Linked DNA regions of Arabidopsis thaliana. The protein of the gene in region 2 interacts with the protein of the main gene of each other region in a biochemical or structural test. Each region holds a gene or a part of one and is shown on either strand. Other genes may lie near its edges. The genes, in order: ADK1, AT3G20650, IMPA-1 and HOG1.

The links.
Region 1: the proteins of AT3G20650 (region 2) and ADK1 form a complex in vitro, tested with the Arabidopsis thaliana proteins (one study listed by BioGRID).
Region 3: the proteins of AT3G20650 (region 2) and IMPA-1 form a complex in vitro, tested with the Arabidopsis thaliana proteins (one study listed by BioGRID).
Region 4: the proteins of AT3G20650 (region 2) and HOG1 form a complex in vitro, tested with the Arabidopsis thaliana proteins (one study listed by BioGRID).

Annotation. Positions count from the first base shown.
Region 1 is NC_003074.8:3,010,106-3,015,454, reverse strand, and holds ADK1 (adenosine kinase 1), read right to left. Parts: upstream 3,676-5,349; 5' UTR 3,334-3,675; coding exon 3,242-3,333; intron 3,136-3,241; coding exon 3,082-3,135; exon of another isoform or gene 2,811-3,081; coding exon of another isoform or gene 2,791-2,810; coding exon 2,744-2,790; intron 2,653-2,743; coding exon 2,621-2,652; intron 2,534-2,620; coding exon 2,432-2,533; intron 2,326-2,431; coding exon 2,258-2,325; intron 2,161-2,257; coding exon 2,084-2,160; intron 1,986-2,083; coding exon 1,888-1,985; intron 1,784-1,887; coding exon 1,713-1,783; intron 1,600-1,712; coding exon 1,533-1,599; intron 1,458-1,532; coding exon 1,274-1,457; intron 974-1,273; coding exon 831-973; 3' UTR 511-830; downstream 1-510. Other genes in the region: IDH-VI (isocitrate dehydrogenase VI), read right to left, coding at 4,385-4,576, 5,064-5,136, 5,223-5,332. UniProt on the Arabidopsis thaliana protein: ATP dependent phosphorylation of adenosine and other related nucleoside analogs to monophosphate derivatives. Essential to sustain methyl recycling.
Region 2 is NC_003074.8:7,220,169-7,225,723, reverse strand, and holds AT3G20650 (mRNA capping enzyme family protein), read left to right. Parts: upstream 1-1,633; 5' UTR 1,634-1,784; coding exon 1,785-1,860; intron 1,861-2,188; coding exon 2,189-2,328; intron 2,329-2,423; coding exon 2,424-2,492; intron 2,493-2,571; coding exon 2,572-2,643; intron 2,644-2,739; coding exon 2,740-2,841; intron 2,842-2,953; coding exon 2,954-3,010; intron 3,011-3,244; coding exon 3,245-3,383; intron 3,384-3,539; coding exon 3,540-3,604; intron 3,605-3,700; coding exon 3,701-3,751; intron 3,752-3,943; coding exon 3,944-4,006; intron 4,007-4,105; coding exon 4,106-4,229; intron 4,230-4,320; coding exon 4,321-4,382; coding exon of another isoform or gene 4,383-4,436; exon of another isoform or gene 4,437-4,463; coding exon 4,464-4,556; 3' UTR 4,557-4,991; downstream 4,992-5,555. Other genes in the region: OCT4 (organic cation/carnitine transporter4), read left to right, coding at 1-453. UniProt on the Arabidopsis thaliana protein: mRNA-capping methyltransferase that methylates the N7 position of the added guanosine to the 5'-cap structure of mRNAs. Binds RNA containing 5'-terminal GpppC.
Region 3 is NC_003074.8:2,118,694-2,124,723, reverse strand, and holds IMPA-1 (importin alpha), read right to left. Parts: upstream 4,381-6,030; 5' UTR 4,166-4,380; coding exon 3,956-4,165; intron 3,790-3,955; coding exon 3,693-3,789; intron 3,595-3,692; coding exon 3,503-3,594; intron 3,425-3,502; coding exon 3,293-3,424; intron 3,186-3,292; coding exon 3,000-3,185; intron 2,920-2,999; coding exon 2,756-2,919; intron 2,669-2,755; coding exon 2,590-2,668; intron 2,013-2,589; coding exon 1,884-2,012; intron 1,783-1,883; coding exon 1,655-1,782; intron 1,551-1,654; coding exon 1,169-1,550; 3' UTR 1,167-1,168; exon of another isoform or gene 1,157-1,166; intron 1,077-1,156; 3' UTR 558-1,076; downstream 1-557. Other genes in the region: TRX z (Thioredoxin z), read right to left, coding at 218-448; AT3G06710 (E3 ubiquitin ligase), read right to left, coding at 5,111-5,407, 5,517-5,957. UniProt on the Arabidopsis thaliana protein: Binds to conventional NLS motifs with high affinity in the absence of an importin beta subunit. Mediates nuclear protein import across the nuclear envelope in vitro in the absence of exogenously added importin beta subunit.
Region 4 is NC_003075.7:8,052,730-8,057,682, forward strand, and holds HOG1 (S-adenosyl-L-homocysteine hydrolase), read left to right. Parts: upstream 1-1,943; 5' UTR 1,944-2,201; coding exon 2,202-2,912; intron 2,913-3,200; coding exon 3,201-3,947; 3' UTR 3,948-3,977; coding exon of another isoform or gene 3,978-4,034; 3' UTR 4,035-4,423; downstream 4,424-4,953. UniProt on the Arabidopsis thaliana protein: Essential protein during embryogenesis.

The DNA.
Region 1 (5,349 bases), 4.2 Mb from region 2:
TACCACTTTGTCGTGTTGCTTACGCTTGCTGTGTTACAATTTGCGGTTTGATCCCGGTTTTGTACTTTTCGTATTGATATTATTCGCCTTCACTCAAATCTCGTAACTTCACGTACGTACCAATAGATGTTAAAACTAAAATGGATCAAATCATATTTGACTCGTGGCCTTTCCCATGCCAATTTATGCACAAATTCGTTTGATTAGTATACGTAGAAGATAAGAAAGTAGAACTGTACAAGTGAAGTAAAAGTCAAAGTTGTTGATATCGTCCAAAGTCAAAAGTCTTTTACGAGTCATACTGGTCCTACTTTACATTATCAAATACATCCAAAACGAGACATTATACTTGTCATTTCCATGATTCAATAGAAATTGTTCTATACATGTGCCGACACAAAAGATTCTGCAAATTTTCTTTGCATAGGAATGTCCAATGTTGTTTCGTTGAACCGAACCAAATAGAATTCGAACAGAGAAACTAGTTAATATAACAGTAATGTACATTATAGGGAATAATGATCATTCAATTATTTCATGAAATGAAGCAAGTTCAAACAAAAATAGAGGATAATTACATCCATGAAGATATAACAAGTTATGAACATTTTGACATTTGGAATATCATACTCGGCCTAGTATAGTAATAATATTTATTAATCATAAAAAGGTACAATAAAACCAAGCCAAAACACACACTCAATAATAGCTTAAAGCCTCAAAAGGTGATACAAGAAAACAACATAGAGTTTATTTGGGTCGTATAATAATAATCACCAAAATCTCATTCAGAGATAAAACTAAAAGGATGATTTGTGCGACTTCTAGATTTAGTTGAAGTCTGGTTTCTCAGGGTAAGTGCAACCAGACCTCTGGATCACTACGTTTGACGCGTAGCATCCTGCCCTCACACACTCTTCAATCCCCTTTCCGTGCACCAGCTGGGACAGAAACCCTCCCACAAATGCATCACCTATGAACACAGAGAACCAAGAGGGTTAAACCACCGGAATTAGTTTACTTGAGACTGATACAAAATGTATGATAATCTTCTTATTACAATATAACAAAGCAAACGGTTTGGTAAACCTGGATTTGGATAAGAGTTTTTATGCTATAATTAGATGAGTGGTTGATATCATCAAACAATAATAAGCTTTTAACTCTTAGCTATAAGTTAAGCTGTATCTAATCTAGGACGGAATGTAGCAAATTCGAGCTGCTGTGACTTAGTTAGAGTGCAGTTAGTGAGGCCTGAGTTCTTAACAAATACCTGCACCGTTGGTGTCAACAAGCTTCTCTTTGGGGAGAGGGATGACTGGGTACTTCTTCACTTTTCCATCCTCAGCGACAACCACAGGATCTGCGCCTTGTGTAATCACAGTAGTCCTCTTGTATGTTCCAGAGGCTTTGGGTAACTGGGACATCTTGATGGCTATTTGCTCAACATCATCAGTCTGTATAAAATATAACCAAACAGATTAATAAACTGTCTTTCTTCAAACAATACAGGGTGAAATTTCGACAGTTACCTCCCAGCCGTGAACCCTGGAGAAGGTTCTTGCCTCGGTCTCATTGCCAAAAATATAGTCCATGTACCTGGTCCAAGCAAGACATTAGATGCAGCGTCTTGCTTTTCAGTATATCGCCAGTGATTAGTTTAGGCAATTATAAGATGGAATAAATGGATCGAGAGATTAGGATGTGCTTACGGCAGGCACTTCTCCTGAACATCTTTGAAGAATTCACAGATGAATGGAGCAGAAAGGTTCATCGTGAACACCTGTCAAATATGTGAGCATATCAGGACTGTTCATGCCAAAGACAACACTGGTAGGAGAAACAAATCACTGTGCCTGGCTCTCATAAAGGATCATGTATTCATACCTTGTTGTTTGCAGCAGCATGTTCACGTACCAACTGAATGGATTCTGGTGATACCGTGAGGAAGAATCCAGCAATGTAATAAAACTTGGCCTTCTCAACTGCCAAGAAAGAAATATGTTTCACAAAATCTCAGATAACTCCAACATATGACAATATCCGATCTCAGAATAAAAAGGTCAGAAGATGAGTTTTGTACCCAGAGCCCAGTTCTCAGGCTTCTTCAAGTGTTCAACCTTGTAGCAATTAGCAGCAGAAAGATTGGCAATGAGCGATCTGCAAAAGGGGAAACACGCCTCAGTACAACTCAGCAGAAACACATCTTATTAAGACAAATGATAAGCAGACATAGAAAGAATTATTGTAAACTGACCTTTCTCCACCAAGAACACAGACACCGCAAGTTCCGGTAGGTGTTGCCTCATCTTCGTAATAGTGGACCTGGATACAGAACAAGCGCAGATTAACAGTCTATTTCCTGATGATTGAACATGAAGCAAAACCAACCACCAATAATTAATAATTGATAAACATAAAGCAGACTCACATAGACACCAGCTGCTGTAGCATCCTTCTTCATTGCCTCTCCGTATTTGTCCTTTCCAATGGATCCCATGTAACTGGTTGCCCCAGGAACTTGAAGCATCCACTGCAGTAATCAAAGATACCATTCATTTAGCAAAAAAAGGTACTAACTTCAAAACAAGTATGAGTAGAAACCGTAATTATCCTTTACCTGGGCCACTTTGATTGAGTTCTGGGTAGCACCTGAAAGCCAAACGAAATCAAGAAAATATCAAAAATACTGCAAATACACATGAACACCAAATGTCTATTGATAGCTCAAAAGATGAATTACCTCCAGCAATGTATTCAACATTGAACTTCTGGCTCATTTCATCGTACCTAAACATACCAATTATCATGTGAATAAACAAAGAGTATTTGAAAAATAATCACTGTCATATTAAAATCACATCAAGAATCACTTAAGGGCAATGAAAAATCACCACACTTGTGTCTGTTTCCCTTAAACATAGCACTTGTCACAATCAAATCATAATTCTTCTACGCAGATTACATATACATATCCACATCAATTACAGAACAACTTGAAGAGTAAATACTAATCAATCCTCATTATCACCATTTGAATTCAAATGCACGCTAGGATTGAGAAAAAGTGAATTCACTTACATGGGCAAATGTTTGTCCTCTGCGAGAATCGCATTGTTCAATTTGATGTCGTATCTGTCACGAATTCAAAAGAAAGCATTAGAATTCAGAGAACCCATAAAGAATATCGTAAACACAAACAATCTAGATCCGAGCGAAAACGATCCGGATCTGAGCTTACTTGTCGAGAAACTGTTGGTCGACGACGGCAGAGACGTCGAGGAGTGGGTTTCCCATTCCCAAAAGGATTCCATCGAAATCAGAGGAAGCCATGGATGATGATGTTAGAAGGATTTTCGAGGAAAGGGAAGAGGTTCAGATCTGGTAAATGGAGGAGCAAGTGTTTTGTGTGAGTGAAGTGTTTGTGTTTATAAGCTCTGAAACCAAAGTAGGTATACCAAAGATAGATTCTTCTTCTTCCTATTATTTTATATATATTATTTTTTAATGCATATTTATCTTTTTTTTTGGGCAAAATAATGTATATTTATATATTAGCTCAAAATCATGCATAAATTTGCCATTGGAATTTCTAATTCTATATTAAACCAAATTTTAGTATAGTTCATTTCATTCAACTTCATTTGTAGAGAAAAGTTAACTGAAACAAAATTTATGAGTAACGAAATAATTGATGAAATAGAGTAGTGTTGTTGTCAAATGCAGCTATATACGTCCCTATCCCACCAACCCACTTGAGAAAAGTGTCAACACATGTCCAAAAGTCTATTGGATCTTGTTGTAAGAACATAAAAATTCTAATTAAGTTGTTTCTTTAAGAGAGAGTTAAAAACAATGAGAAAACCAAATGTGACAGCATTGCAACTTACAAAATGAATAGGAAAAAGATTGAATTTGTCGGTGGCATTGAAAAGTCCTGAATCATCCACGTTGGTTTGTTTCAGCATTGAAAGTTTTCACTTTTCAGGGTTTGAGAGTTATGTATTCATTCATTCACAGAGAATAGGCAAACAATTTAGGTAAGGACAAAAGGGACGATATTATTATTGTTGAAAATTCACAGAGAATAAGACATAACGCCAAACAATTCAGGCAAAATCCACAAACTGTAAATGTGAACCTTTTGATGGATTCTTCCAATATCTGTATCCTTCTTTTGTTATGGATCTTAAAGGCAGAAGAAGTAATACAGCTCTGCAAGAACTTCAAATCTAAGGAAAACACAAGTCAATGTCTAAAGCCTATGGCGGCTTTGTTTCTCCTCATAGGAAGAGGATCAATATGTAGAAAAATTTTGGAGTGAAAATCCAAGAGGAAGATCCAATAAGTAAGTAAGGAAAGAATTATGGTTTTTCACGGGTGTTTAGAGATGATCACAGATGGCTTTTGTGAAATCTGTTGTAGTTGAGGAACCTCCGAGATCAGCAGTTCTATACTTTCCCTCGGCTATTGTGTTGATGATGGCACTGTGGATTTGCTCTGCTTGTTTGTTGAGCTTCAGGTGCCGCAACATCATCACTCCACTCAGTAGCAAAGCTGTTGGGTTCGCCAGGTTCTACACAACACCAGCAAAGAATAACAAACATGTGGATCATAAGCTAAAAATCGAATCAAGTTCTGATATTGAATAGTGGCAAGATAATATCTAAACCCACTGTATTTGAAAACATGATTTATTTATTAGACTCCTTAACCCTCAATGCTAGGTTGGCCAGTTATTAACATCATTCAAGTACTACAAGCACGATCATCCAGTAAGAACCATTCTACAATATAAACTAGACAATAATCCATTCTACAATGAAAGCTTCTGAATGTTCAACCAAGAAATGGCATAGAAGAGAGTAATGGAGAATCTTCTCTCAGGAACAGCTTCTATCATACTTAGTTTTAGGGTAAAAGTAGGCAAGTTCACTTAAATTTGTCAAAATCTGTAATGCAGTGTCTAAATCCTATTTACTCTAATAATTTAACAAGTTAACAACAACTCTATGCATCAAACGAATTTAGAACGATGATAACATCTAAGAATGATGACTAACCATTCCAGCAATATCAGGTGCAGAGCCGTGAACAGCTTCAGCAAGGGCAATACCATCCTCCCCAATATTCATACTGGAACAAAACATAATAAGAGCATAAGATGATTGCCTCATTTTCATACTAGACAATAATCTGTGAGACGAAGAAACAAATGTTACCTAGGAGTCAGTCCTAGTCCCCCAACAAGTCCAGCACACAAATCGCTGATAATATCTCCATAGAGATTTGGCATCACCAAGACATCAAAAAGTGCTGGGTTTTTCACAAGCTGTCAGAATTAAGATT
Region 2 (5,555 bases):
ACCGCGGTTTTACTAGACAAGTACGGGAGGAAACCGCTGTCCATAGGGACACAGTGGTTCAGCTGCGTTTTCTGCCTCGTTGGATTCTCTGTATGGGGAGCTGGTCCATGGAAATCAGTTAGAATGGTGTCAGGGGTTTTAGGGATATTCGGGATGGCAGGAACGTACAATCTTCTGTTCATATACATCGCGGAGCTGTTTCCAACAGTGGTGAGGAACGCGGCATTGGGTTGTGCGACTCAAGCAGCTCAAATGGGAGCGATTCTGGCGCCGTTTGTGGTGGTTTTAGGGGAAGAGTTACCTTTTGGGGTGTTTGCGGTTTGCGGGTTAGTGGGAGGTGGGCTTGCGTTTTACTTGCCAGAGACGTTAAACAAGCCGTTGTATGATACAATGTTTGGGATGCACGAAGCTGAGAGTGAGAGTAACAGAGAAAGAGGAGAAGTAATATGTTAAAAGAAACAGAATTTACACTTAGACATGGAGAGACACAAGTCAAGATCTTAGAAAATAGGTGTTTTTGAAATGTCGAATTGTTTTTGTAGTCTTACATGTTTCTTCGCTTTAACAGAGATAACATTGATTTTGCATTAAAGTCTATGGGTCTTGAAATGGTGGTACATGTTAACAGAGATAACATTGATTTTACTACCACAAACAATAAGCATTGTAATGCACGGTAAATACAAACCAATATTGCTTGCAAGAGAAACAAAGAAGTTAATCGGAAAGTGAAGATTGAACCAATTTTGCTTGCTAAATAATGAGGAAACGACTTATTTGTTATGAAATGATGGATTCTCATACTCTCCCTAGAACCGGAGGAGGCTTAACATCTTCAGCAACAGGAGAGGCTCCATTAACGTTGAATCCACCTCCAAGCGTGGGATGAATTCATTTTTTGACAAAAAAAATTCATACTGTATAGTGTATACGCTTGCAAATCCAAAACTATTCCTCCTTCTTACACAGACTAAATTACTTCCATGTTTTTATGGTTTTTGCCATGAGAGTATGGGACCATTGCATAGGCATATAAAGTTTTGATCGTATTCTTAAACCTTTTTTCATTTTTATGAAATATTTATGGATAGGTTATCATCGACGTGAAATTACAAGAACATTTAAAAAGAAGATAATCATAGTATGTTGTCATGCACATAAAATTAGTTTTGATGGCAAAATACCAAATATCATAGACTTGTTACGGTGTTACCAGTACGTAGCACTATCAATGCCATTCCCATGAAAATAAACATGTTGTTGGTATCAAATTCTCTAGTATTATTGAATTGAAGTTTACACTAATAATGTGATTGTCAAAAACTATGTTAATGTTATGAACTCTTTTACCAGTATTATTCTATCCTGAGGTCTTCTTTTATATTTTTTTGTTTCACAAATATATAATTAATTTTACGAAAAGTAACAGATCAGGTTCCATGGCCCAATGGATAAGGCGCTGGTCTACGAAACCAGAGATTCTGGGTTCGATCCCCAGTGGAATCGTTCTACATCGTTACCTTTTTTTTACCGGCCAAAATAATTTGTCGCCTCCGACTCGGAGCGGCGTGAAACAAGCCGCAGCCGCAAGCTAGTAAAACATAATTAAACCAAAATTTTGCTTTTTGCCAAAGAAACACAAACAAATCTTTGATTTAAGAAATCCCCAACTCCAAATCTTTTCTCCTTTATTTGGTTGTCTTAATTGGGTTCTTATTATTGAAGTACATCAAAGAGTTGCAGATAGAGAGAAACATTCGGTAACAAACATCTGAACTGTTGTTATGAAACGAGGATTCTCCGATTCTCCTTCAAGCTCTGCTCCTCCTCCTTCTTCCAGATTCAAATCTAATCCCGAAGGTTTCGTTTCCCTCTCTTCCTCCTCTGTTGATTCGATTTGTGTTCCACAAGGGTTTATTGATGATCCCTCCCTTGCTAGTTCCTTCTTTGTCCCTGAGAGTTGCTTTTGTTTGCCCGTTGGAAAAAGTTTCCTTCTTTATAGTTTCTATCAAGCTTTTCATTCTGATAGAGTGTTAACTGTGTGTTTGCTGTCTTGTTGGAGTTTTAGTTCTTAAGCTTTTACTTTGGATTCTATGGTTTTAATTGTTTAAAGTCTGTTTCTTTAAGCAATCGTTTCGCCAAAATGACTATGATTGTGTAAAGCTTAAAGTCAGATTCTGTCTTTCAGGTGATTCTCAGTTTCTGGAAGATGAGACTACAAAGAATTTTGCCCGGAAAGTTGCTGATCATTACAGTAGGAGAACAAACCAAACATTGGAAGAGCGAGAAGCTAGTCCCATCATTCATTTGAAGAAACTTAACAATTGGGTTGGTTACTCTTTAACATCTCTCTCTGTCCGTGAAACTTGTTGTATTATGATAATTCAATTTTGTTCCTCTTTTTCTTATTCTTATACAAACAGATTAAAAGTGTTTTGATCCAGCTTTATGCTCGTCCTGACGATGCTGTTCTCGACCTTGCCTGTGGGAAGGTTCTTGACTTAAAACAATCTTATTGTTCATGTCAATTGTTATTTCTCAAAACTAATCTCATTGTAATGCTTTTACCAGGGTGGTGATTTGATCAAGTGGGATAAGGCGAGAATCGGGTACTATGTTGGAATTGATATTGCTGAAGGGTCGGTAAGTTTACTGGCTGAATGATAGCTGTATCTTTATTTTGCATATATGTTTTATCTCTATACCTGAGAAGTGCTTCTATGTTGTACTTAATAACAGATTGAAGATTGTCGCACGCGTTATAACGGTGATGCAGACCATCATCAACGGCGTAAAAAGTTCAGTTTTCCGTCTCGATTATTATGTGGGGATTGTTTTGAGGTATAATGAGCTAAGCTCCTCTAGTAGTTTAGGAATCTTGTTGACATGGTATAATGAGATAAGTTCCTCTAGCTTCACTATTTGTAAATCCTAATTGTGTAATTGCTTACAGGTAGAGCTAGACAAGATTCTTGAAGAGGATGCCCCTTTTGATATCTGCAGTTGCCAGGTTTTATATGTTTCAATCTCCTTTCTGTTTTAAAGTACATATCCGGTCAAGTTTGAACAGTTTCAGATAAACTATTTGGTTTTACTAGTCACGAGACTCTACTTCGGCTTTGTAACTAGGTTGTGCCAAAATTAGTTTTTCCCACTGGCATATTGAAGTTGTAGCGTGGTTGAAATATAGTTAGTTGTGTAGTTATGGATTCTAAAGTTACCAAGTCATTGTTTAACTGTGTAGTTTGCTATGCATTACTCATGGACTACTGAGGCACGTGCACGACGAGCTTTGGCAAATGTTTCAGCTTTACTTCGTCCAGGAGGTGTCTTTATCGGAACAATGCCAGATGCCAATGTTATTATAAAAAAACTCAGAGAAGGTTATTTTCGTTTTCCTTCTTTGCTTAGAATTTGATCTGTGATCCTCTGAAAATTGAGTTGCTCTAGTTTCTCCTATACATTTTGTTCTAGTTTCTCCTCAGTGCTTCTGGGTTTTTGGAAATTAAACTGTTATTTGTTGTATACTGAATACGCAGCTGAAGGTTTGGAGATTGGTAATAGTGTTTACTGGATTCGTTTTGGTGAAGAGTATTCCCAAAAGGTGACCTTTCTTTGTCCTTAGTTTTGACTTTATCCGTTTTCCGGAAAGTCCTTTCTTTCCTGGTTCTAATGATGAGTTTCTCGTTGTATGGTTCAGAAGTTCAAATCTAGCAGCCCATTTGGTATCGAATACGTGTTTCATCTCGAGGTACCTAATTTATCTACAGTATTCTTGAGATATTCACTTAGTCTACCGCAGAAACTTAAGCATTGTAAAGGAAACTATATCTGTGTAAATATATTGTAAGAACACGACTACCTATTAAATGGAGATTCCAGAAACTTCCCTTGTCATGTTTGCTGTTAAAAAGAAAATATAACATAGGAACTTGTATTGTAGGATGCTGTTGATTGTCCTGAATGGATTGTGCCCTTTAACGTCTTCAAGTCTTTAGCGGAGGAGGTAAATACTTGATGCAGTGTTAACGTGAAAACCTTCTAATTGCTAAAAACACTGGTTCATATTTGTGAGTGTGACATTGTCCCATGAATTTTTGGATAGTATGATTTAGAGTTGGTATTTGTGAAGAACTCCCACGAGTTTGTCCATGAGTATATGAAAAAGCCAGAGTTTGTCGAACTCATGAGAAGGCTTGGTGCTTTGGGTGATGGTAGCAATGATCAGAGTAAGTCTTTGTTCGATTCTTGCTTCATATCATCCTTTTGATTCTAACCAAATGCGAGATAACAAAACTAACTTGATTAGTATCTTTCCAGGCACATTATCAGCTGATGAATGGGAAGCTGCATATTTATACCTCTCTTTTGTCTTGAGAAAGGTTTGTCTCCTTTTTATCATCTTTCAATCTTCACCTTTCCTGCTTCGTCGGTAATGTCTATTTAACGGGTGGATTTTATAGAGGGGAGAATCAGATGGAGCTCGAAGGAGCGGGCGGAGGAAGAATGGGAAAATGAACTTGTCGAAAGATGATGTTTTGTATATCGATAGCTGAAGTGTCAAAGAGTGTTTCTTTTACTCTTAGAGTCTCTGTTTTTGGTCTCACTTCGTTGTCTTACGTTTTTGGCCATTTGAATTGAGAGATTGCATTACTTTAGAAAAATCTGATCCGTTCACAAGAAAGAAGATGAGAAGAAGCCAAATAATATTATAGTCGTTGAACACTTGTGTTTTCAAGTGTATAGGCTTTGATATACCATCAGGATGATGAACATGGTTACCATCATGATCATTATTCATGATTTGTATTGTGATGTATTCGTAGCGTACTTTGTTTAACAAGGTCCATGCCTTTTTATTTGTATTACTATCTTTTGGGATTAGGTCGAGTTTGAACTAGAGGAAATTGAGAAAAATTTCAAGCTTTTGTTATGTTACTACTCTCTTAGTTTTTGATGTCAGTTTCTCTTTCTTTTACACTAAAAAGACGCACGATTGACGAGTTTTCTGTTTGTCCTTACAACAATCTCTTACGTAGGTAGAACAAATACAAGAAAGTTTCTAATAGAGCTTAAACAATTGAGAGATCAAACAAAACTTAATCACTACTTGTTTGTCTTTTGTCTCCTTAATTCCACAAGGGAGAGACTTGAAAGCATGTTCTTCCACACAAAGGTGTCGAGTGTACTTTCTGATCAAGAACAAAGTCGGTCGAGCATGTGACTTTGTTTGGTTCTTGTTTTTTGTGTGAAACATTCAGTTTTTGTTCATGTCTTTTGCAATAGATTTAACCAATCGAAGCCTCTGGTTGAACTAGTGTGCTCTACTTTTCTTTTATGGATTTGTGTTTCTTTAATTTTCGGTTAAAACCCGAAAAATATATCACGAGTAGATGTCTCTTAAATTAGAGATGAAACCAAAGAGCCTAAATTAAAAACACATCTGATTAACAGAACCTGTAGATAAGAACTGAATTACTTTATGTAAACTAATTGATACCAATACCACGTCATGCTTAATGAGAGTAATTATAGAAGAAAAAGTTTAATTATAT
Region 3 (6,030 bases), 5.1 Mb from region 2:
CAAATCTCTATTCTGAAGTATTTAACAGTGTACTGGTCGAATCTTTGATAGAACTACCATATATCGTTCTTATATAATAACTACATCTATGCCCAGCCAACTTAATTTCCCAGAAAGGCGAAAAAGGAAGTCGTAAAACGAAAACAAACATGAAATTTTTTGAAATCGACAAAATATGTTGTTTGGAGCGTGAGAGAAAGCGAGAAATTGTCCGTACCACAAGATAATCTTCTCTGACAAACTTGCCGCGAGGCGGAGGACAGAGAAGCTTTCGCGGACGCGTCAACGGCGAGAAGGGCAAGTTTCCGGCGGTGGAGGAGGAGAACGGCGCGGCTACCGGTCGGATTTCCCTCCGGATAAAGAGAGAAGACGGAGCATGGAGGGAGGATAGAATCGGCGATAACGGAGTGTTGAGGTGTGGAAAAGTTCTGGATTGAACAAGAGCCATTTTGGAAATCGATTTCTGCTTCAAAATGATTTCAGTTTTAGCTTTTGAGGGGTTTTAGACGATAAGGCAATTGAACTGGACATATACTAATAGTTCATTAGTTCTTGTCTTTTTACAATTTACTTGCTCAGGTAAAGTCAAATTCATAATAATTTATTGCTGTTTTATGTATACTTTACTTCATAATTCAAATAAAGATTCGAGTCTTTATAACTCGAAGATAAACCCTTCCTTAGGTTTGACCAAAAAAAAAAAAACCTTTCCTTAGGAAATCAGACACCAAACATATTAAGACCAATAAAGGGTTTATGGTTTCAATTTTTTAACCGACATACAAACTGTTGTCAACACAAAAACAAAAGACTCCACTGTAAGTTTTTATAACCCTCCAAAATTTAAAAACAACACAAAGGTCGACTCACGACCGGTGTACCAGTCATTTCAAAAAAATAGCCCTGGACAATGAACCAAACACTTTCTCAGACGCTGTACTTTTAAACCGACCACCCGGTACAAACCTCTGAGACCAGACCAGACCAGACCTGGAGTATAACCATGGCAGTGAAACTAGACTCTGACTGACTCTGACCTTTCACCATTCTCAAGTTGCAAGCTTCCAATTCCATTCCTGTGGGTTTATATTGATCTAAATATCAGATTTTGCATGTTTTCATCAAGAGACGTTGTTAGAAATTTAAGAATTTTTACTTTTATTTACCTTCAGCTGAAGTTGAATCCTCCGGATGGTACTGGAGCTTGATTCCCTCCAAACTGGAACCCAGCCTGAGAACCATCAACACCTGGAGGTTGCTGTGTCTCATCATCTTCCTCTTCAAGCCAGTATGTCTCCAGAATTTTAACAGCCTTCTCATAGATCTCATTGTTGTCATGGCTCTGAAGGTTCTCGATCTTTTCTAGCCCTTCTGCATCATCAATCAGCTGAGCGTAATAGTTCATGTCTCCTGTGTGACCCAAGTTCTTCTCTGCCTCTCCCACCTTCAAAATGTTTTCCAATCCTTCAAGGCAGACAGTTATGATTCTTGGATCTGGGCAAACCAGGAGATCGCATAATGGTTTTATGCACCCTTGCTCCACCAGGTATCTGTATAACCAACGGGAACAGAACATCAATATATATATACACAAAGTATATATATGAGAGAAGAAACTGGAAGTTAGAGGAACGCAAAAAAGACAGTGACATACTTTATTTGATCATGAGAACCACCTGAAGTTGCATTTGAAATTGCCCATGCAGCTTCCTTCTTAATGTCAAATTCAGCATTTTGAAGCAGACTCACCAACGGGGAAATCAAATTAGCCTCAACTACCGTCTGCAACCATCAGGGGAAAAACAACACAATTAATGAATAGGTATAGAAGTCTGGATGGGAAACGGTACAAAACATATGATGAAACAGTACTAATTGCCTACCTGGATCTGATCTTTGTTGCCTGCTGTGATGTTTGAAATCGTCCAGCAAGCTTCCTTCTTTATGCTTTTCTTATGGTTTTGAGTGAGCAGGTTGGCAAGACAAGGTAGAGCACCACTATTGATCACGCACTGGAGAAGAAGTAAAATCAGATTTCCAAGTAAAACGATGTAAACTATTTCAGATATAGAAAAATCACCTTTGCTAAACTCATGAAAAACCAAATTTCACCAAGCAAAAAATTTGTGCATGTTGTTGGTTTAAACTTTAAAACAAGAATTAATTGTAACAAAACTCAAACACAAGCAATATATAGCAAAAAAGGCACTGCATCCTATCTGCTAATATGGACAGAGTGGCAACAGAGGGAGAATCTCATGATAAGCATTCAATACTCCCATTTTTCACATAAAATGTTGGATATGAATAATAGCAACAGGGTGCCATACATTTGAACAACACCTCATCGCAATTACCAGTCTTGGATTAGATGATATGCATGGTATATCACTAACTTCGACATGTTTTTGCTATCGGTTCAATTAATGAAAAGTTCTAGTGGTATCTTCAGACCTATTCCTAAAGGCCAAAGAATTGCATAACCACAAAGATATTCTTTGGCATAGTAGGAAAAATATATACTATCATATACAATGTGCAAAACCGAAATACTGTGAGAAATTCAATAGACAGGATTTAGATCCATACCTGTGTTTGTATATCATCTCCAGTAACTATATTTCCAACAGTGCGAAGAGCAGGAATTAGCACAGATGGAGAATGATGGCTAAAAATCAAGAGCAAGGTATCAAGTTATTTGTCAACAAATGTGTGAAGTGGACATGAAATAAGGGAATTATAAAATGGTACTGACAGGAGAAGTTCAACAAGTTTTGGGACAACACCGGCCTGGATGACAGTCTGGATTTTGTCATTGGTCCCATCAGAGAGGTAAGAAAGAGCCCAACAGGCATCTGTCAAGACTTCTTCATCATCTGAATGAATTAGTCGTTCAAGGGCGGGAAGAGCAGGTTTGACCTGTTAAACATGCTTCATATGTTAGAAGAATACTAGACATAAACATTGACGAAACAAGCTTGGAGGGGAAAAAAATAGACCTGGTCAAAGTGAGGCTGAGGCTTGCCACGACAGAAGTTTGACAAGGTCCAAGTGGCATTTCGAAGCATGGACAATTTAGCATGCTCATTAAGCTGATTGAGCAGCGGAAGCAGTGCCCCACATCCAAGAACAAGATCACGGCACCGTGGTGAATCACCAGCAACGTTACCCAAAGCCCATACAGCCTGCAGGTTAGAGCGAAATCTTAAGATCAGGGTTTCACAAAATTTTCAATTGCATAATCTCTCATAATAAATGAGAAGACATTCTGTAGTCATCAGAAGTTCCATACCTGTTCACGAACATCATCGCTAGGGGAAGCAAGAAGCTGAACAAAGATTGGAACAGCATTGTGATCGATTACAACCTTAGTGTGATCCGATGTTCCAGATGCAATGTTTGTTAGAGCCCAAGCTGCCTCAAACTAAAATAAAAATCATAAAAGATGAGAAGAGAAGATTACAGTGAAGAATGAATCAATAAGAGACATTAATTATCTCACCTGAATGGCGGGGTAATCTTCTTTCTTAAGAAACTCAACAAACCTAGGAACAACACCAGCACTTATCACTTCCTCGATTGGAGGACTTCTCTCTATGCAATTATAATAGAGACAGAGAGACAAAAGTTAAAGGGGACACTCCAAATTATATCAAAACGGGAAATAAAAGAGAATTAAGAAAAGGAATTACCAATAGAGAGAAGCTTCCTGAACTGAGTAGTGGACTCAAGCTGCAAGGCAGGGTCATCGGACCAAACCCCAGCGACCATATCCTTCAGACTATCCAACTACAAATGTTTTTTTAAAGCCAATCAATCACAAGACAACTACCGTAACCAGAACCCAAAAACGAAACCCTAAAACCTCAGTAAGCCGACATGAAAATCACAAACAAAAACCTAGAAAACCGACAACAAGGAGTACAATCGAATCATCTAAAAACCAGAATTGTACCTTCTTATCGACGGAGGCGGCGGAAGCTGAAGGGAAACCCTGAAGAGCTTGCATACCTTCACGTCTCTTCTTCATCAAACTCTCCTCACGCTTGCTTTTACGGATCTCAACCATGTTGTCTTCTCTCCTCCGTCGTCCTTCCTCCGCATCCACTGCAACTTTGTATCGGTTCCGGCGAACCTCCGTCTTAGCGTTGGGTCTCAGTGACATGGCTCTTGCTCGACAAAGAAAATCCGATGAAAAGATATAAACCCGATCAATGAATGCACACAAGCACACGCAAAGACTGGTCTGTGTATTATATAGATCCTGCCGAGAGCAAATAAATTATAATTATAAAAAAAACCTAAAAATTGATTTGGGAGTGGAAAAGTGATAAAGAAAGAGTTAAGAAGCAGAGGCAGCGAGGGACAAGTTGACAACAGCGCATCCAAAGAATGAAAGCACTTTTTTATTTATTTTTAATCTTTGTTCTTAATTTATACTGTAATTGCTAAAATATTCACTTATTTACAGTTTTGCCACTATTTATTTATGCAAACAGGTGTCCACAATTAGGTTATTTACATAATTAGCCCCTTACTATTGTGTTCTTTGAGGCAAGCTAATGTATTCTTCTTTATATCTCAACAATTTGAAGATCCTTTTGTTTTCATGACTTACAAGTGGACTGCGATTATCTTAATATTAACGTATATAGACCTTGGTTACTATATAACTTTTTGAGTTTTGAATCTACGTTTGTGTTTATACATTTTTTCCTTTCCAATGAAAAGTCGTTGTTTGTCATATATGGATTAGTTATTTCTCTCTAGCGAGATATCCTCAGTCAGATTGTCCACTCTTTAACCGACTACATACCGATCATCGAAGACCAACCTATGAAAGTAACTGACGAGATCATAAGTTTGCTTGGCCATGAACCAGACCGCAATCAAGGCTAACAACGCCGGCCAGATAAACGGCTCAATAGCTGGGTTGGCGCTACGGGAAAATCCAAGCAGAGGTAACAAAGACTTCAAGAGCAAGTAAGGGATGCAGAGTGTGGCTAGAAGTGTGGTTATGATCGAACCAATCACATCTTGAAGCAGCCACATTGAAGGAAGCTTATTGATTCCCACGTTTCTGATTCTCTTGAACTTTCCCCGCCATGCCTTAGTCGCGAAACAGTTGACAGGAAACGAGATTTTTGCTCAGGAGGCAGGACAGTTTCTTTGTTATGAAGTGATATCCCAAGGAAAACCACCTGACTATGGCTGGAAACGAGATTTGACGCAGAGTGAGGAAAATTCCTAAGTAGGCAAAGGGAATTGACAGCGTCATCATGTATCCAAGAATGACAGGTGAGTTTTCGAATAAACCGCCACCTCCTACAATTGCTATTGCAATCCAGCGAAAAGAAAACGGCAGAAGAATAAAGAAGAAAGACACACATATGCTGATGGTAAGAGCCTGTAGATAAGATAACAAACAGAACCTGTTATTCAAAACATGCTCCATATGGTAATTAAGTTACATAGGGTGGACGAAGGAAGAGAACTAGAAGGGACATTAGACTTACATCAAAAGATTTGTTATCCAGAAAGAAAAGCAGCCGTCCAATGGCTCCAAGTTCGTGAACAGCAACACCAACTAGCCTAGGAGGTTCCCCGAAGAAGCTTTGCAATAGAGAATAATACCACTCACAAACGATCTTGTTATATTTCCATAAAACAAGCACAAACCCATCTCCTAAGACATTCTTAATCAAGATGTCAGCCTGAAACCCAGCAGGATGTCTCGCGATAATGGGCTCGTGTATGGGTATCCTCATGAAAAACACAAGATGACCGTTGTATAACAGGCCATTTAAGAAACATGCGGACTTGGTAGACATTCCATAATCTCTCTTGAACCCAACAACAACTTCTTGGCCCAAAGGATGTAAAGAAAGGCAGTATGTGTTCAAGATAAACGCCATAGCCCAAGGAACAACCATTCTCACGTAAGGTGATGCTCTCATTAACACAAACACGTATTAGAAACTCGTGAACTGGAAGTCTCTCTGGAGCGTCCTACAATGAAAACAGAGAGCA
Region 4 (4,953 bases), on a different chromosome or scaffold from region 2:
TAATAATAATGTTCATTAGTGCATTAGTTTCCTCCTTCGTTGCCCAACAAAAGAATAAGCTATCATTGACAGTTTTATGATATTCGGAGTTCCAAAATCATTTTTCGAAACTCGGCCTTTTAAGGCATTTGGATCAAAACTTCGGTGCATATACTAAAAACATATGGATATATCGGGTTGAGTCGCCTCGTAGAATTCCTCGAGAAGATATATATTTTGACTTGGTGCTGGCCATTTGTAAGAATAGCATAAGCCACCAGTCACCAAGATTATTCATCGTAAATTGTAACAAACTCACCATTATTTGGAGAGCCCAAAGATACTACTCAATCTTCTTACCATAAACTTTTGTCACTGTCTTATAAGCTATAAGATTACTGGTCTACTTAACTCAGAAATATTTATGTCCTTTGTAGCCAAAAGCTACACTGAAATTGACACAACTCGAGTGTTGTCCTTTTCTGGTCGATTGAATAGAATCGAATGTCTTAATCCAGTACCCTCCAGCTTTTATTTCGTGTAATTTATTTTCCAAACCTACCACTACCAGTTTCATAACTCTCGAATAAATTTATCAAATAGTCTTTTGAGTGCTCAAAGTCTTGGGATAATAAATGGTCAGTGCTATGTATCACCCGGATGTGAAACATTATGGGTGGAGATAGACTATTATAAATTTATTGAAATATACGATTGTTACTCGTTTAATAGCAAAAGTAGTACAATGTATATAGTTTCTATCGAGAACAAGATCTATTTAAAATTCGAAAAGTACATTTAAAATTCATAAACATATAAAGATAGTAACATGTTAGATCTGCATAGTACCACCAAAACAAGAAAAAAGAAACGCACATCGCCACATAATTGCTATGATTCTCACTGTCGGCTGCTTTGAAATATTACGATTCTTTTGGTAAATCACACAACATAATATAATTACAATAAATATATATATACTAAAGTATAATTAATATAATTAATACCACATTGTTTAATTCTGTTTTGATCTTTTAAGATCAGTCAGATCCACCGACGTTCCTACACGCGCAGGTCCAGATCCAAACAGCACACACACACACACAATGCCACTAGTGTAAATGCTTGGTGGCTATTGCATTTGCACCTATTGATACTCTTTCTTCAAAAACAAGTTATTGTTTTTATTTTCAACCCAACTTTAATACGGATTCATACTGGGATTTAGGTGTTAAATCTGATAATTTAGGTTTGAATAAGTTGTATATTTGTTTCTTTGATTAAAAAAAGAACCTATATATATACAAAAATAAATAAAAAGTTCTAGATTTCAATTTTCCGTATATAGCGGGTTGAATTGTCTATTTTAATATGAAAATTGACGGATCTTATAAACAAAATGTTCTGAAATATGTAAAAGGATTTAGCCAAAGTTAACCAAAAAAAAAAAACAAACAGAAAAGTCACATTCACATGTCGTGGTAGATCTAAGGCATTAATTTAGAAATATGTCGTTACAATAAGCGGAGAACATGGGACGTTTCTCGTGGTCCAATCAGACGAACGAGATCTCATAAATTAAATGACTTCAGACGAGGGAATTCATGGCAGAATGATAATGCAACTTAAGTGACTTTAGAGTGAAAATGATACGAGAACAATGCATAATCCATATGACCGTTGAGTGAGTGATACCATTAGCGCGATACAAGCGGGACTATAAACTGATCTAGATTGTTTTTCTTGGGAAAAAATGTTACAAATTTTAAATATGTAGTTTGAATTGTTAAACCAAGATTCAACAGAAATATACCGTAAATAAACAACAGTTGATAATAGTCATCGAAAAGATATCAACTGATTCTTCACTTGGGCTACTGTGACGGCCCGTTAGGGTTCTCAATATAAGTCAATAACTACGATCTACGATTCACTGAAACAAATAAAACACAGCCACGTGTCCACCCTCCCACATCACCGTCCGATCTAACCCACGACAAGCTTACAACACGGGTCATACCGCTCGTGCAGCGTGTTCCGTCATCCACGGGATTACAACTTCTACCAGATCCACCAAACCCTCAAAACAATCTGAACCGTTCATTTCATTTTGACCTCATCTATATATTCTCTGTCACTCCCTTTCTCTTCTCCTCGCACACACTTCTCTCTCTCTCTCTCTCTGCCTCCTTTCGGATTCAAATCTCAGATCTAGCTCAACCATGGCGTTGCTCGTCGAGAAGACCTCAAGTGGCCGTGAATACAAGGTCAAAGACATGTCTCAAGCCGATTTCGGTCGTCTCGAACTCGAGCTCGCCGAAGTTGAGATGCCTGGACTCATGGCTTGTCGTACCGAATTCGGACCTTCTCAGCCATTCAAAGGCGCTAGAATCACCGGATCTCTTCACATGACCATCCAAACCGCCGTACTCATCGAAACCCTAACTGCTCTCGGTGCTGAAGTCAGATGGTGTTCCTGCAACATCTTTTCCACTCAAGACCACGCCGCCGCAGCCATCGCTCGTGACTCCGCCGCTGTTTTCGCCTGGAAAGGTGAGACTCTTCAGGAGTACTGGTGGTGTACCGAGCGTGCTCTAGATTGGGGTCCAGGTGGTGGTCCTGATCTGATTGTTGATGATGGTGGTGACGCTACTCTTTTGATTCATGAGGGTGTTAAAGCTGAGGAGATCTTTGAGAAGACTGGTCAAGTTCCTGATCCTACTTCTACTGATAACCCTGAGTTTCAGATCGTGTTGTCTATTATCAAGGAAGGTCTTCAAGTTGATCCTAAGAAGTACCACAAGATGAAGGAGAGACTTGTTGGTGTCTCTGAGGAAACTACCACTGGTGTTAAGAGGCTTTACCAGATGCAGCAAAATGGAACTCTTTTGTTCCCTGCCATTAACGTTAACGACTCTGTCACCAAGAGCAAGGTATTGATCTTCAGATTTGTTTCTTTACTAGTGATGATAAATCTGCTAGGTCTTTAGCTCTGTAGTTTTTGATGCGATAGGCTTAACAACAACATAATCACTAAGTAGAAGCAAGCTTTTCATTGTTGGTTGTTGAAAGTATTACGATCTAGTAGAGAAAAGTCCTTCCTTGGTTACAGAATTTGCATGAAAAGTCAATATTTCTCATGCTTTCTTTGATTTTATATTCAACGTTTTGTTTACACTTATGTGCTGTTACTGATAAATTCATTTGTTCTTGATTTACAGTTCGACAACTTGTATGGTTGCCGTCACTCACTCCCTGATGGTCTCATGAGGGCCACTGATGTCATGATCGCTGGAAAGGTTGCTGTTATCTGTGGATATGGTGATGTTGGAAAGGGTTGTGCTGCTGCCATGAAGACTGCTGGTGCTAGAGTCATTGTGACTGAGATTGATCCCATCTGTGCCCTTCAAGCTTTGATGGAAGGACTTCAGGTTCTTACCCTTGAGGATGTTGTCTCAGAAGCTGATATCTTTGTCACCACCACCGGTAACAAAGACATCATCATGGTCGACCACATGAGGAAGATGAAGAACAACGCTATTGTGTGCAACATTGGTCACTTTGACAATGAGATTGACATGCTTGGACTTGAGACTTACCCTGGTGTGAAGCGTATCACCATCAAGCCACAGACTGACAGGTGGGTGTTCCCAGAGACCAAGGCTGGAATCATTGTCTTGGCTGAGGGTCGTCTGATGAACTTGGGTTGTGCCACTGGTCACCCAAGTTTCGTGATGTCTTGCTCTTTCACCAACCAGGTGATTGCCCAGCTCGAGCTCTGGAACGAGAAAGCAAGCGGAAAGTACGAGAAGAAGGTGTACGTTCTTCCCAAGCATTTGGATGAGAAGGTTGCATTACTTCACTTGGGCAAGCTTGGAGCCAGGCTTACAAAGCTGTCAAAGGACCAATCTGACTACGTCAGCATTCCAATTGAGGGACCATACAAGCCTCCTCACTACAGGTACTGAGAGAGAGAGAGAGTCGACAAAGCGGTTCAGGTTCGGATCTACTTGTGGTTTTGTGTTGGGTTGTGGTGGGAGAGTGGAACAGTTTGAGATATTGGTCTTCTGATGAAGTTGACCAAATATCAGTATTAATAAGGGTTATTGGCTTTTGAAGGTTGTGCTTGTTTTCTCCATTTTTCATGAAACTTAAATTAGTTTTTGGTTTAGTTTCCCTCTTGATTTTATTTTGTGTGTTCTGTTTAGCGTTGTACTCTTCAAACAAATGAGAAACCAAAAAAAAAGGGGAAACTTGTTTTCGGCATCCCAGTGTTAGCGACTTTTGTTGAATGAATGTCTCAAATGCTCATCTTTAATAATGTGTGTTAGGACACGAACAACACATGGTTCGATTCGTGGGGGATTTTATGGTTGTAGTTATTATCGTACACGTTTCAAAGTTCTCTTAAGTATTCAAAAAGGCTTTTCCAATATAAATTTTTGATAGCATTTAGCTATAAGATTCGTTTTCATTTTCTTCAATTCTATGTCATCACTGATAAAATCTGCTTTGAAAATTTCAAAATTTATTACTTTTGCAAGAAGAATGTGAACGTTCCTACAAAGAGAGGGGTAGAAAATAAAAACTGGACTCGAAGTAGGAACCCAAACCCGACTGAAAATACTCAAGAGTCCAAGCCCGTTCTAGATAAATACCAAAATGGGTCTTAAGGCTTGGTATTCGGGTACATGATAATATCTGATCCGAACTGAAACATGAACTGTTTACCCGAAACCAGTGGCGGAACTACGTAGGGGGCAGGTTAAAATTCAAAGTGGTGAACGAGTACGGCCTCGAGAGTTTATGGAGTAAGATTCGAATTAGCGTTTCCTACGAAACGCATGAAACCAGTACGTTCGACCAAGAATGATGAGGAGGTTCTTCTGGTTCTCGATGCAAACTTGGGCTTGTACAACTTTGAGTGTAGTACTTGAGAGGAATTAATCTAGAAATCCACGGTGTTGAATTCGA